2 linked regions of the Arabidopsis thaliana genome follow. The protein of the gene in region 1 interacts with the protein of each later gene in a pairwise test. Each region holds a gene or a part of one and is shown on either strand. Other genes may lie near its edges. The genes, in order: AT2G41760 and HDG1.

Region 1 (6,482 bases):
GAATATAATTTAATATTATCCAACGGATTGGATTTTCGGTAGTACCGACCTTTAAAGACCTTCGCAAACAATAAAAAAAAAAAATTTATCTATTTTTAGCTATTTTAATTAATATATTACCAATATTTTGGATTTTAATATAATATACATGGAAAAAAATAGGTCATCATTATACAATTGGAAACGTCGCTAATTTTTGTCTTGAAATATATATTGCATCTAAACTTATATATATATATATATATATATACTTACATACATTTATTGGATTTGTTGTACCATAAATAGCTACCAACCTAGACCTAGTTATATATAAACATTAACAAAAAAATGATGCAAATATTTGCAAGAAAAGATAGGTGAAATCATACTTGATTTGGATATAACCTATGTAGGTGTAGAATAGACCGTATAAGATCTTTTAACACAAATTAAAAAAAACTATCCAAATTCATTATACATAGTTAATATCATATAGAATGTTGTAAAAAAGAAAAGTATTTCGGAATAAATTATTTGATTTGGAGAGATTGGTCTCATCATTCGCTATTTCAGCATGACACGATGTCCTTTTTAGCATGTGAATTTGCACGATTCAACTCCTTTTTGAAGGATATGCACTTTTCGTATATTAAAAGAATACACTATAGTATTTCTTCGTAATAATATACTCTTTAACATGAAAAACAACAATCATGAATGAAATACAATAACCAGATAAATAGAGAACAGCCTTCTTTTCTACTTTTAGGCTTTTGGCAGATGTCATGGATGGATAATACTCCTTTTTTCTCTACTCTCGTTTTCAACTCAAAAAAAAAGAAGGAAAAAAAAAAGTTATGTCATGTATATAATCGTATTCGTAAATACATAGAAGAAGAAATTTCAGAATCAGCTACCATCATTCCATCAATGCTTTGCCAACTAGAGTTTGTTCAAACTCTTACAAACTTCTCTACTTGACTAATATAATTATGCATTTAAAAGTTCACCGTACCGTTTTCCATTTATATCTCTCCTTTTTGATAGTCTCATTCGCATATGATACACTTGACTTGAAACCTCCCAAAAAAAAAGGGTACAAAGTGTAGCTTCTATATGACCGATGGTACATAACAGACTTTCGACTACCATGCACTTAACTAGGATCCAAATCCCTCTCCCGTAGCCTATTTCACAATATATCAGTGAATGTTTTTTTAAGGTGTTCAAAACAAAGTTGCTATACTTGATAAATCGATCATTGTTTTATTTTGTGTGTTGCCAGGTCAACTTCACGTAAACAAACAATAAATATCGAAAACAGATAAAAGTTATTAACTTGTACTATACCATCAAGAAATGAATAAAAATTATAATTGAAGGTCACTCCATCGTAAATTAAGGAAAACGTAAAAATGAATAAAGAGAGTGCAATGTCCACACCGAATGAAATGAAAGAAATTATATGTTTTAAAATTTCGAGAAATATACTATGTATGGTTGATATATATATAATCGGTATCAAAAATATATATATTTTTTAAGTAAACTCTATAAAGAGATGATAGGAGTTTCGATCAGATATTTCCGATTGCATAGAATGAACAGGCTCGGTTTATTCTTTGAGCAGGGCCAAAACTAATGTAATTAAGTAAGATTCAACCTAAACAAATTAAAGTTGAAATCGTAACTTAGCAGTTTCATCTCTTTTTTCTTGACTAACAAGTTTCGAGCTTTCAATTCAGAATTTATCTAATTCTGAAATTAGTATTTGTGCCGTACGTATTACGTAGCATAGATCATGTTTGTTTTGAAGTTATTCGGACAACGACCAACGATATCGATTAGCAACCAACAATACATTTCTTCATTCAAAATAGTAAGTCAGACTTATTTTGATCTCCAATTCGAATATGGACCGTAAAAAGGAATATGAATTTACAGGAAACGGTTTTAATGATTGAACTTGTGTGCTTTAGGAATTAGGCATCTATATATTATAACATCGGTACTAAAAGGCCTAAAAACATATCATGTGATTCAGTGAGTGTCTAGTTTTTTAAAAAAAGTGTCACCTTCATTTATAAATCTCGAAAGTTAGTTATATGATCGCAAAACAATCCACGACCCCCTCACCTCTATTTCTCACTTCACGTGGAACAAGGTCCCATGTCCCATTATTTCTTCTTTTCTAGTTCATAAAGTTCATCATAATCTATCTGTTCCACACACACAAATATATTGATTGATTTGTCTACTCCAAATTCGCAAGAAAACGTGAATAAATTTGAGAAATCACAGAATTATTTGATATTTTGTAAATTAACTAATTATTGATATAGAAGAACAAATTAATACAATGGACTAATGTCATAGAGCAATTTTTTTTTGCTAAACTTCAGGATTTAACTCATTCTTCTTCTTGTTCAAGTGGTTGCTGATTCTGAAATCTCTTCTTCAATAACTTAGGTCTTGGTTTCATAGGCTTCAAGTACTTAGATTGAAATCTAACCATCTCTTTCAAAACACTAATCAGCTTCCTCTCTATTTCTTCACCGTCAGGTTCAATAGCTCCTAAGCACCGTGCCACAGCCTCCGCCGTAGTTACACATCCTCCGAATGGTTCCTTCCTTAGCACAAGCTCTGAATCGTAGATGGTTCCTCCACTCACTGATGCGTCTATTTCCGTATCCAAACACACTCTAACCGCTCCTGCTTCTCTTAACACCACCTCGCTAGCTTTGACCATCTCCTTCGCGTGTTTCCACGTCGCGTCGAATACGATTAGTCTCAGCGGCGGGGGATTTGAGATCTCACGATGGTTTAAGAGGTTTAGGGATTTGAATTCGGATATAGTGACGGCGGGAGAGGAAGGAGAAGAAGGGAAGAGGTAGATTGTTGGCGGTGCTGGGAGTGCGGTTCCTCCGGCGGTGGAGATGTGACGGCGGAGGAGACGGCGGGCGGGGATTCTGGTGACGTTTAGTAAGGATTTGGTAAGGAGAGGAGTGGTGTTGAGCTTGTGGCGTGACTCGTGTGGATGGTGGAGGATGATGATTTCTGTATTCGTCGGAATTAGATCCGCTGGTAAGACGTGGCAGAGACAAATCGCATTTGGGCGATCGCAGTTGTCGCAGATCTGCCGGCGATGATGCGCGTCTTGCTCGTCCTCCATCGTCACTGCTCTGTCACGCGAGCATTCCAACATTAATGGGAAATTAGAAAAAATAAAATAATACGCTGTCGTTTTTGGTCTATTAGAAACACGGCATCGTTTAAACTAAGTTTCTGAACGACGGCGTTTGACCCATTCACGAATACGAATACGATTACGATTGTATTCACTACGTCGTCGTTTGGTCTGTTCACGATACATCGTCGTTGGGCATTAACTTATTTAACTCTCTGTCTCTTCTCCGGTCACCATTTACCCAATTGTACACGACCACTTTTTAGTTTTGACGATTAGATGATCAACGTTGCTGGAAGTAGGAAAATTAGATAAGAGTACTGATCAAATCCTAAGAGAGAATGTCCGGCGTCACCTCGGAGCCTATTGCTATGGATGCCACTCGGTTCCAGCACACTCCTTACTACTGGTATTCTTCTTCTTTTAAAACAAAATTTCTCATCGATTTAGGTTTCTTCAAATTATAGAACGGTCTCTTCTACATGTTCTATGTAACTTCCGAATCCAGATTACTCGTTTTAGAGGGTTGTAGTTGATTATTTTGACTTATGGGTAGGAGTACTTAAGATAAAGATGTTGACTTTTTCTTGTAGCGAAGAGAATGTGTATCTGCTCTGCAAGACGTTGTGCGAGAATGGTGTAGCGGAGGCAACGTGTTCTGATTTGTTTGTTGTTTTTATCTCCAATGAGAAGAAGCAGGCAAGCTTGTTGCTCTTTATTAATAATTCTTATCTTTGGTCTTGTTTCATGTTGGAATTACATCACCGTTACGAAGTCGTTTGGTAATCAGAGTGTGTATATTTCAATGTCCATTGTACTGATTTGATTTTCTTGTAGGTTCCACTTTGGCATCAGAAAGCTAGTACCAGAGCTGATGGGGTTGTACTGTGGGATTATCATGTCATCTGTGTCCAGGTAAACCTATAATGTCCAAACCAGTGATGTCAGTTTTTAGAATTAAACTTGGTTTTTGTTTTGTATTCGCATGAATATTGATTAGAGGAAGAAAGAAAGTGATTCTGAGCCTTTGGTGTGGGATCTTGATTCGACTTTGCCTTTCCCTTCACCCTTAGCCTCATATGTGACTGAAACTATCCAGCCATCTTTTCAGCTTTTCGCAGAGTACCAGAGGTAATCTATAACTTTCACATCACTGTACCACCAAGTAATAGATATCAGGGTGCCAAAGCAGTAGCCTTTACTTTTCTATCACCGAGAAACTATATAGGCTTCTTTATCTTCTTGTGTTCCTGAACCGTATATTTATCCGCAAAACAGTTTATGAAAGGCATAAGGAGCAATATAGATTTGGATAGGAAATTCAGCATCATGTAATTGTAATGTAGTTGGTTTTTTCTTTTTGTTTTGTTGAGATCAGGTTCTTCCGCATTGTTCATGCTCCTCTGTTCTTTAAGCATTTCGCTTCCGATAGAAGACACATGAAAGAACCTGATGGAAGTTGGACTGCTCAACCTCCACCCTATGAACCCATTGTTGCCCAAGGTAAGATGTTACTTTTTACCCTTTCATCAACAATATTCATCTGCTCAGCTCGCTTTTGTCTTACTTCTGAAGATGGAATCTTGCACAATTTGAGCGAGTACATTGCCATGAGCGGTGCGGATACATTGTCAAGCTTGGATCCCGAAACAGTGACAGCAGCAATTTCACAGAAACTTGGTGTTGTGGTGAGCCACACTCAGCTTCAGGATCTCTTCACCAAGCTTCCTTAGCATTCCAATGTCTTTTTCTTATGGGATCAAAACTGTGTCATTACTTGTATATTCAGGCATGTTTTCAGTTGTCTTTTTGTCTTTATTGATGAAGCAGAGACTGATTTTAGATGGGGAAATATCATACACTCACAAAACGTATGGTTACAATGGAACATTACATGACTTTCTTCACAACCCCCAGAAGAAAAAAATTCTGAAAAGGGAACCAATAAGAAAAGAATCAAAAACACAATTTTTGTATAACTCTGTTTCTATCATTGCATTACTGCAAGCTCTATACCCTGAGTCCATCATACCAACTCCATCAGAAGCGGGTCGCCCTCAGCCATTTGCTGAACCAATTTGATGAAATCTTGTTCGCTTGATATGCTCCACGGGTGAACCGCAGGTGCTTTAGCAGAATACAGACTCGAAGAAGTGTTAAACGAAGCTGATTTCCTCTTATATACCATTGAACCGAGAACCGGGTCAAAATTCTGAGGCGAATCCATAGACAAGAAGAACATTGGCACAGCCACTTTGTAATGCAAGTCCATATCGCCCACGAGATCAACAAGATCGATAAAGTCAGTTACCAGTCTTTTAGGCACATAGAATACCTCTGAACTGCATACTGTTAAGGTCTCATGATTGTTCTTGGTGGCGTCCTTGTAGTTAACTTGGAAATGAGCTGGCATTGTACTTACAGTTTTCTTCACTAACTCTGCTTGTACAGAAAACCAATCAGAGTTCCCGGTCGGTTTCACTGATGTCCAAGACTTTGATACCTAAATCACCAGTTTACAACAAGACGTTTCCTTGTCAGATACACATATCAAGATAGTAGAACAAAGAGAAGCTGAAAATATTGATGAAAATGTTGTACCTTGTCTGTAGTCCAAATCTTAGATTTGTCAGCTTGAAGTAGATTCCAGTAATTGAGAACTGTATCATCTTCAACAAACAAAAATCCTTCTGCGCTGCTGTATCGATCAAATATCTTTGGTAGATGCCTGAAATATACATACAAACTTACCGTTAGAAGCATGAACTTTAAACAACATATACATAGTAATCTTGAGAATATTCATACTTGTAAATGTGATCGAGTTTGGCTTCTTCTACATAGAGATCTGAGTTCTTCTGAGAAGAAAGTATCACAACAGTTTTGAATATCCGGCCATAAAGTAACCTCCACTCGAGTGCGGTACGTTCAACGGGACCGTTACAAAACATAACCAGCACAACATTCCCAAAATTCTTCCTCCACCTAATCAAGTTCCCTATTTCAGTGCTCACTGTGCCAGTCTCCTCAACCCCGAGATGAACCGAAGGTAACTTCCTTGGAACAAACTCTTTTCTATCTCCATGACCGATACTTGCTCGCGGGCGATCCAATTCCAGCGACATCAATCTCGGTTGTTGGTACCCAACAGCAATCAAATCCTGAAGCCAAGCAGCTGTGAATTTCAAATCCTGTTCTGTCCAAAACCCTTCTTCAGCCATAGCAAAGCTCAAATCAAGGACCGTCTCAAAGAAACTATGCTTCTCTGATCTCCAAGCAAGTAAGAACTTGATCAAACGACCAACATTAACAT
Region 2 (8,946 bases), on another chromosome or scaffold:
TGGAATATCTTGCAAGTCTCAAATCGAATCTGCTGCTGGACATCCATCTTCATGATCACGTTGACACACTATATGATCAGATAAGGAAGAAGGCACTGATCCAGTACACATTGCCATTTGTCTCTGTTGATTTGAGCAGGATGGCCGATGCATTCAAGACTAGCGTCTCTGGTCTAGAGAAAGAACTTGAAGCCTTGATCACAGACAACCAGATTCAGGTCCGTAGTGTTTCCCGAAATAACTTTGTTTTATGTTACTGTCATTTTAAAAACCTTAATAGAGGCAAAATCTTTTTTCCATCCCGGACAGGCAAGGATTGATTCACACAACAAAATCCTCTATGCAAGACACGCGGATCAGAGGAATGCAACTTTCCAAAAGGTACTTCAGATGGGAAACGAATTCGATAGAGATGTCAGGGCGATGCTGTTAAGAGCCAACCTCCTGAAACATGAGTATCATGCCAGATCGGCAAGGAAACTTTGATGACATCTGCTTTGCTAAACTGAGAGGTAATGGCCTATTCCAAGATCATAAGATATCTGTTAAAATTTAATTTGGTTTAGTTACTGGTTAGCTTTCTATCTGACCTTCTCTGTTCTCTAGTTATCGCTTTGTTTTGTCAACTTTTAGTTTAAGATTCTTTGAATTATCTATGGACTTTGAATGAAATCCCGAGTGTGAATCTATAGACGCATGAATCACACTGAAAGTGAAATGGTCAAAGAGTACAGACATAAGTACACACACTTGGTTTCATGGGCCGATATGATTTATGATCTTTGTATGCATGTGGGTGGTGGGATCAAAAATCTCATCTCCCAACTAATATCCATTTCATTTTGTCAACTAAACGTCGTATATTATATGATAGTTTGTGGCTTTGTGCACAGTTGTCACTCTATAGTTGAAGACTTTTTTTTTTCTTATCTACAAGAAATAATAATCAAAACGGTTAGGTCTTTTTTTTATAAGTAGAATCTCGAAAATTGCAAAACCAAGATTTGATGTCGGCAAACGCATCATGTAGACTAAGTGTGAACTTTTGATTTTCTTGTGTCAAAGAACTTTTGATATTAATCACTCGATAGCTACGTTTCATCATTATTAGTTTCTTCTATAGAATTTTTATCACTGAATGGGATAGTTCACATTATCTGGTACTATTATTTTTACTATTGCAAGTAGTTCTTTTCTATGCATTTCTTTGAAGTTGTTCTCTTTGTAGTTTGAGGTATCTTATATATATATATTTCTATATGTTTGTGTTTGCCAGGAATATTCAAGGGTGTTTTTTCAAGATTCGAACCAAACGAGAAATTGGGCAAGATTACTTTTTTGTAAGAACCAAGTGTTTCAATGAGTCGATGACATTTAGAGTAAGTAAAGGTTTTATTCTAAGATGGACAGTCCATTATTAATCAACTATTGAATGATATTGCCTTTTAAATGAGTCTTAGGTAGCATCGCAATAACTCCATGTTTACTCAAAACTCACAAACCATGAAGTTAAGAATCCGCCAAATTTGGAAGATGGGCCAACTCTAAATTTACTCACCCCAATACTCCATTTATTTTGGGTTGCATTGATGAAAGTAATTTGTATAATTGATAGGTTGTGTATCAAAAACCGGATCTCATTATTTGTGATCTTTGCATTAGTTATTTTTGGAGACTAATAACCATCTTTCTAAACTGTGAGTAATACAAATATAAACAACTTCTTGTTCGCTATGGAAAATAAAACATAACTCTTTAGGTACGATTCACGATGCAAAAACAATAGTCATCGTGAATAAACATGTCCGAAATACATGAATTAACAAATGAAACGCTCAACAAATGAATTGACAAATGAAACGCTCAACAAACGAAGAATCTCACATCCCATGATGAAATTGGGATTTACAAATAAAAAGTAGCACAAGAAGAAGGGGGTAGAACAGTAATTTTAAAAGAAAGACAGCGTTGATTCACCACTTGAAGTGGACTTTTATAGCAAAAAGAGTTGAGTAACGTCAAAAGAGTCAAACCCAACTTTTCAAAGGTTGTGTAAGGCTTTCCATGACTCCACATCTTCTTCTTTTCCCTTTTTATCCTTTTCTCTTCTCTCTCTTTTATTTTTTCTTTTGAAGTAAATTAATTTCACGAAACAAATCAGAGAACCTTTTATATCTTCCTTTTTCGTCGTTACTATCGTCCTTTACCTTTTTCATTTACTGTTCTCTCTCTCTCTCTATCTCTATCTCTATCTTCTATTCATGGACATGCACCGAAGCGACAAAGCTTAGGGCTTTTCTCTCATCCATGGCGGATTTCTTCTATCTTCATTAAATATTTCCCTCTTTATTAAAATCTCATGAATTTCAACGGTTTTCTCGACGACGGTGCTGGAGCCTCAAAGCTACTCTCTGATGCTCCGTACAACAACCACTTCTCTTTCTCCGCCGTAGACACCATGCTCGGAAGCGCCGCCATTGCTCCTTCTCAGTCTCTTCCTTTCTCTTCTTCAGGCCTCTCTCTCGGACTCGTAAGCTCACTATCTCCTCTTTTAATCTTCGATTTCTTCTTCTTCTACTACTTATGATAATCTCTGTAAATTTGGCAGCAAACAAATGGAGAAATGAGTAGAAACGGAGAGATTATGGAGTCAAACGTAAGTCGTAAGAGTAGTAGAGGAGAAGATGTAGAAAGCAGATCTGAAAGTGATAACGCTGAAGCTGTCTCCGGTGACGATTTAGATACCTCCGATAGACCTTTAAAGAAGAAGAAACGTTACCATCGTCACACTCCTAAACAAATTCAAGACCTCGAATCGTAAACTCACTATACACAAAATCTCCATTTACACTTCTACGAATCGTTTTGATTTTTGATTTTGATGAATCCTCCATTTTTAGGGTTTTTAAAGAGTGTGCACATCCAGACGAGAAGCAACGTCTTGATCTTAGCCGTCGACTTAACTTAGATCCTCGTCAAGTCAAGTTCTGGTTCCAGAATCGTCGTACTCAGATGAAGGTTTTTAGCTTCGAATCGCTAATCTTTGTTTTCTGGTTTCTTTGTTTTGATTTTTGATTTGTTTTTACAGACTCAAATCGAACGACATGAGAATGCTTTGTTGAGGCAAGAGAACGATAAGCTTCGAGCTGAGAATATGTCTGTACGCGAAGCTATGAGAAACCCTATGTGTGGTAATTGCGGCGGACCTGCCGTTATCGGTGAGATCTCAATGGAAGAGCAACATCTGAGAATTGAAAACTCTCGTCTCAAAGATGAGTTAGACCGAGTCTGTGCCTTAACCGGTAAGTTTCTTGGCCGGTCTAATGGTTCACATCATATACCGGACTCAGCACTTGTTCTCGGCGTTGGTGTTGGTTCTGGTGGATGTAATGTTGGTGGTGGTTTCACTCTCTCTTCTCCGCTGTTGCCTCAAGCTTCTCCTAGATTTGAGATTTCTAATGGAACCGGTTCTGGTTTGGTGGCTACGGTTAACCGTCAACAACCGGTTAGTGTTAGTGATTTTGATCAGAGATCGAGGTATTTGGATTTAGCTCTTGCGGCTATGGATGAGCTTGTGAAGATGGCTCAGACACGTGAGCCGCTCTGGGTTCGAAGCTCGGATTCTGGTTTTGAAGTGCTGAACCAGGAAGAGTACGACACAAGTTTCTCTCGGTGTGTTGGACCAAAACAAGATGGGTTTGTCTCAGAAGCTTCTAAAGAAGCTGGAACTGTTATCATCAATAGCTTAGCGCTCGTTGAAACCTTAATGGACTCGGTGAGTAGTTACTAAAACACTTAATTTTAGTAATGAGCTTAATCCAGCAAAAGTTCTAGAAAGTACTAATCTTTTGATACAATGTTTTTTATAGGAACGGTGGGCGGAAATGTTTCCTAGTATGGTCTCAAGAACTTCAACCACAGAGATTATCTCTAGTGGCATGGGAGGGCGAAATGGTGCACTTCACCTGGTATGTAATTATGCGTTTAACATTTAATTAACACATATAAAATCTTAATTCAACAAATGGGTCTTTTAATGTTTTGTTTTTGGTTAATTAGATGCACGCAGAGCTTCAACTGCTGTCTCCACTCGTGCCGGTTAGACAAGTGTCGTTCTTGCGGTTCTGTAAACAGCACGCGGAAGGTGTTTGGGCAGTCGTGGATGTCTCAATTGATTCCATTAGAGAAGGTTCTTCTTCGAGCTGTAGAAGATTACCATCCGGTTGCCTCGTACAAGACATGGCCAATGGCTACTCAAAGGTAAAATTATTCTTTCTGGGTGATGATTATTTGTAATAGTAGTATACTGTATAGTTTTAACTTTTCACCTTTAGGAGTTACCCTAGTGTTGGTTGGTTCACATTTCTCTAGGAACCACAGGCAAGCTCTTTGTTTTTGTCCGAGAAATTATGATAAAGGTTTCTTATGCATTGGGTTTATAACTTTAAATTAACTTATGCATTGGAGTAGGATTATTTTATTGATCAGAAGCATCTAAATATCTCCGAGTTCTGTGCCCTTGGATCGTGCATTAATTTTTATCATTACACGTTCATAGAAGTTTTTCTCTTTGATTATCATTAATTATGTGTTAAAGCTGACATTAGACCTAAAAAAACGATTGTGATAAACCTAACGCAAAATAGTTTAAGAAATTTGCAGGTAACATGGATCGAGCACACGGAGTATGACGAAAACCACATCCACCGTTTATACCGCCCATTACTCAGGTGCGGTCTAGCGTTTGGTGCGCATCGATGGATGGCTGCATTACAACGTCAATGCGAATGCCTCACGATTCTCATGTCCTCCACTGTTTCCACTTCCACTAATCCATCCCGTAAGCTCCCTCAAACGCTGCGTTTCTGATTTATTTTGTAGAAATATATATTTGTTTGTTGTTGTTGACGTGATTCATATCTTATCCTACCAGAATAAATAAGATTTAATAAATAGTATGAACTGTTGACTGAGTCACAAAGAAAAAGATGATAGCTGTTGATTCTGTAATTATCAAACTATATAGTTTAATTAATCTTTTTTTGGTTATATTAATGGGCACAGCTATAAACTGCAATGGGAGAAAAAGCATGCTAAAGCTAGCGAAGAGGATGACTGATAATTTCTGTGGAGGGGTTTGTGCTTCGTCGTTACAGAAATGGAGCAAACTCAACGTTGGCAACGTCGACGAAGACGTTAGGATAATGACTAGGAAGAGTGTAAACAATCCTGGCGAGCCGCCTGGGATAATTCTAAATGCGGCGACGTCAGTTTGGATGCCGGTATCTCCGAGGCGGTTGTTTGACTTCCTTGGAAACGAACGGCTTAGATCGGAATGGGATATCTTATCCAACGGTGGACCAATGAAAGAGATGGCCCATATAGCTAAAGGCCATGACCGTTCCAACTCCGTCTCCCTCCTCCGTGCCAGCGTAAGCATTCATATTTATTACACTTTCTATTTGCATGCGTAAGTAGCTAAGCTAATCTCCAAATTTTAGTTTAGGTTTTGGTGAATTTAGTATTTTATAAACATTAGATGGTTTTGGAAAACTTGAAATTTTAGTCGGTTTAGTTTTTTGTTTACGGTTTTCAACTTTTTCTGATTTTTTTGGGTTGGTTTTAGATAAATTAAAGTTAAACCGACTTGTGTGGACATTGAATATTTGATCTATAAACAGTGTATGAAAGGACTTTGTTGTGTTGTGTGACCCCAGGATGGTGTTGTCATATGAATCTTGTCGCGTGTGATTGGAAAGTGACAAATCTAGAATTTGGAAGTATTGTGTGATAAAAGTCAATAGTAATAAGACATTTTTGACCTTTTTCTTTCCTTTTTGGCTCCGACGTTTTGAAAAATCCTCTGTTTTTTTCTCTCTTTATTTCTGCATTATTGGTGTCTTTTCTCCGTTGTACCCCTTGAGCTTTTTCTGGCTTGTGACGGTGACACTGTAAAAGTCTCCTCGTTCATCATCTTTTAATTTATTGTTTCCCCTTTTGGGATTTATAATTTTCTCTTCTACCACCAAAGTTTCCATTTATTTAATTTTGTTTTGATTTTTTCATGCAGGCGATAAATGCGAATCAGAGTAGTATGCTGATATTACAAGAGACAAGCATAGACGCTGCAGGAGCGGTTGTCGTGTACGCGCCTGTTGATATCCCAGCAATGCAAGCTGTGATGAACGGTGGAGATTCTGCTTACGTGGCACTCCTTCCTTCAGGATTCGCCATTCTCCCTAACGGTCAGGCTGGTACGCAACGCTGCGCCGCAGAGGAACGTAACAGTATTGGTAACGGTGGGTGCATGGAGGAAGGAGGGTCGTTACTAACGGTGGCGTTTCAGATACTGGTGAATAGTTTGCCTACGGCTAAGCTAACGGTGGAATCTGTGGAGACGGTTAATAATTTGATATCGTGCACCGTTCAGAAGATTAAAGCTGCTCTTCATTGTGATAGCACCTGATCATCGAGATCAGACGATGGAGGAGATTGAGTCAAGAACGAACCTCATTTTGTGATGAATCCGTTTTTGTGATGGTTCGGGTATTGACTCGATGAAATTTAAAAAAAAAAAAAAAACAAAGAATGTTGTAATTTGGATCGGTTTTATTTTGGATCATGTCGATGAAATGTAATTGTTTCTTGTTTCTCTTCTTGTAATGACTCGATAATATCGGGACAGCATTATATGAAACACACAAGTTTTTTTTAGGGGAGCTCAAATAATTAGTTATAAGCAAAAACGTATTATCATTTTTTTGGTTATAAATCAAGGCAACCAGAAGCACAATCCGTGTTTACTTTTGTGGTAGTTTATAATGTGAAAGGATTGGTTTGGACCGTGTCCTTTATTTAATGTTGTTCCAAGTTTACAGTACTTTTCTCAATAAGATGGAAAAGGAACGAACGAAGAAGAGTGAAACACGTGAGTGCATGAATTTAGTTGCAATCCCTTATAGTTATTATATCCATGCAATGTAGACAACTACAACGAAAGGCTAATTGATTAGGTTGGTTTAGAGATTGTTTGATAATGCTAGCCTAGATCCAAAGGTCACATCAGAAGAGACCACAGGCTACTAATGGGCTTTTATCTAAAGCCTGTCATTAACTACTCTATTATGGCTACCAAGTAAGTCTTCTCAAAGTGTATTGGGCCAATCATTAACTAATTTATTGGGCTAGATTTTAAGTCCATTGGAGTATATACTATTATTACAAACGACAATAATATTATTATTACAAACGGGCCGAAAGAAAAGAGTCAAAAGGAAGAGTCAAACTTCCGAATAATCCGCGCGCTTAACGTTCGATCGCCACCGTTGAATGAACAAACGGTCACGATCGTATCTAATACAGATTATTTAATTCCATTTTTTTCTTGTGGGGTGATGATCTCTGAACAGAAATTAAGGGTATGAGAATGATTGATTGGTCTTGGAATTGTGTAATAGACCAATGGCGAGAAATGCCATCTGTTCTTTTTTAGTTTAAGCTATATCCGCTCCGCCGCAGAGATATATATAGATATTTCTATAAATATGTTTTTGTATATATACACAGAGAGTTTTGATTAAGGAAGAAAAATCCTTAGATCATTTTTTTTTTGTTATCTTTGTTTCGTTTTTCTGGTAGAAGAGAGAAGAAGGAGAGACGAATTGGCAGCTAAGCGATTCTCTCTCTTTCTCTCTTTCTCTTCTCGTGTAATCTTTTGGTGTTCTTGAAACCACTTTTTTTTTTGTTAATTCCTCTGTTTCCTTGGAATTGTTTTCTGCTTTTTTAAGAAGAAAAAAACGATGAATGTGGTGCGGAGATTAACGAGTATTGCCTCTGGACGTAATTTCGTTTCTTCTGATAACGTAAAGAATATTGAAACTTTTTGAGTTTTTTTTGTTTGTTTGTATTTATTTTCTTGATTTGGGGATTGTTTAAAGTTGGACTCTTTTGTTTTTGTAACTTGCGTAGGTAGGAGAAACTGAGACGCCGAGATCAAAGCCTAACCAGAATCGTGAAGAAACAGAGTCTACGGAAACTACGTCGTACGAGAAAGATTCTGTCTCTTCCTCAGAGAACTCTGATCATTTACCAAAGGAAATCCGTGAGGTGGGACTTGGAGATGACAAGGTTTCCATTTTTGAGATTTTTTTAGCCTTTTGAGTTTCTGATTTGCTTTGTTTCTCTGATCTTTGAGCTAATGGTTCAAATGGATTTGATAGGATATGGACTGTGGAATCATCAAGGGAAATGGAACAGAATCTGGACGGATTATTACCACCAAAAAGAAGGGTTTGAATGATCAAAAAGACAAGGTGACTTTTCAGTTTTGGCTTGTGTTCTTTGTAATGACACATTTCTAAAATTGTTCTCCATGAAAATCTGTTTTTTTATATATTGTTTGTTATTATGCAGACAATCTCTTACAGAGCTGAACATGTAATTGGCACTGGCTCATTCGGTGTTGTCTTTCAGGTAAATAAAATTTAGACTCGAGATATTTTATTTAGTTGTTTTAAAAATTTGATTTTGAAGTTGATTCCTGGTTTTGATGTAGGCTAAGTGCTTAGAGACGGAAGAAAAAGTAGCAATAAAGAAAGTGTTACAGGACAAGAGATACAAAAACAGAGAACTTCAGATCATGCGAATGCTTGATCATCCTAATGTCGTTGAGCTCAAGCATTCTTTCTTTTCCACGACTGAGAAAGACGAGCTTTATCTTAACCTTGTTCTTGAGTATGTACCCGAGACTATTTACCGCGCTTCCAGATCTTACACCAAGATGAATCAGCATATGCCTTTGATTTATATTCAGCTCTACACCTATCAGGTATTAAGACCGTGTACTCTTTTCTGCATTCAGCTCTATTTTTGACTTTTGGGGTTCTGAGAAACATTTGTTTGTTGAAACCAGATTTGCCGTGCTATGAATTATCTGCATCAAGTGGT

What was found.
Region 2: the proteins of AT2G41760 (region 1) and HDG1 interact in a two-hybrid assay, tested with the Arabidopsis thaliana proteins (one large-scale study listed by BioGRID).

Annotation. Positions count from the first base shown.
Region 1 is NC_003071.7:17,419,354-17,425,835, forward strand, and holds AT2G41760 (amino-terminal glutamine amidohydrolase), read left to right. Parts: upstream 1-2,335; 5' UTR 2,336-2,392; coding exon of another isoform or gene 2,393-3,187; 5' UTR 3,188-3,510; coding exon 3,511-3,578; intron 3,579-3,762; coding exon 3,763-3,868; intron 3,869-4,006; coding exon 4,007-4,084; intron 4,085-4,169; coding exon 4,170-4,300; intron 4,301-4,547; coding exon 4,548-4,672; intron 4,673-4,744; coding exon 4,745-4,902; 3' UTR 4,903-5,018; downstream 5,019-6,482. Other genes in the region: AT2G41750 (DTW domain-containing protein), read right to left, coding at 2,393-3,187; AT2G41770 (transmembrane protein, putative (DUF288)), read right to left, coding at 5,196-5,672, 5,771-5,897, 5,978-6,482. UniProt on the Arabidopsis thaliana protein: Mediates the side-chain deamidation of N-terminal glutamine residues to glutamate, an important step in N-end rule pathway of protein degradation.
Region 2 is NC_003074.8:22,628,410-22,637,355, forward strand, and holds HDG1 (homeodomain GLABROUS 1), read left to right. Parts: upstream 1-1,921; 5' UTR 1,922-2,359; coding exon 2,360-2,530; intron 2,531-2,608; coding exon 2,609-2,817; intron 2,818-2,900; coding exon 2,901-3,018; intron 3,019-3,088; coding exon 3,089-3,775; intron 3,776-3,869; coding exon 3,870-3,968; intron 3,969-4,059; coding exon 4,060-4,260; intron 4,261-4,662; coding exon 4,663-4,840; intron 4,841-5,064; coding exon 5,065-5,432; intron 5,433-6,070; coding exon 6,071-6,466; 3' UTR 6,467-6,746; downstream 6,747-8,946. Other genes in the region: FUS6 (COP9 signalosome complex subunit 1), read left to right, coding at 1-218, 310-486; AT3G61160 (Protein kinase superfamily protein), read left to right, coding at 7,800-7,862, 7,969-8,127, 8,220-8,312, 8,413-8,472, 8,555-8,827, 8,912-8,946. UniProt on the Arabidopsis thaliana protein: Probable transcription factor. Promotes cuticle development probably by modulating the expression of the downstream genes BDG and FDH, possibly repressed in a CFL1-dependent manner.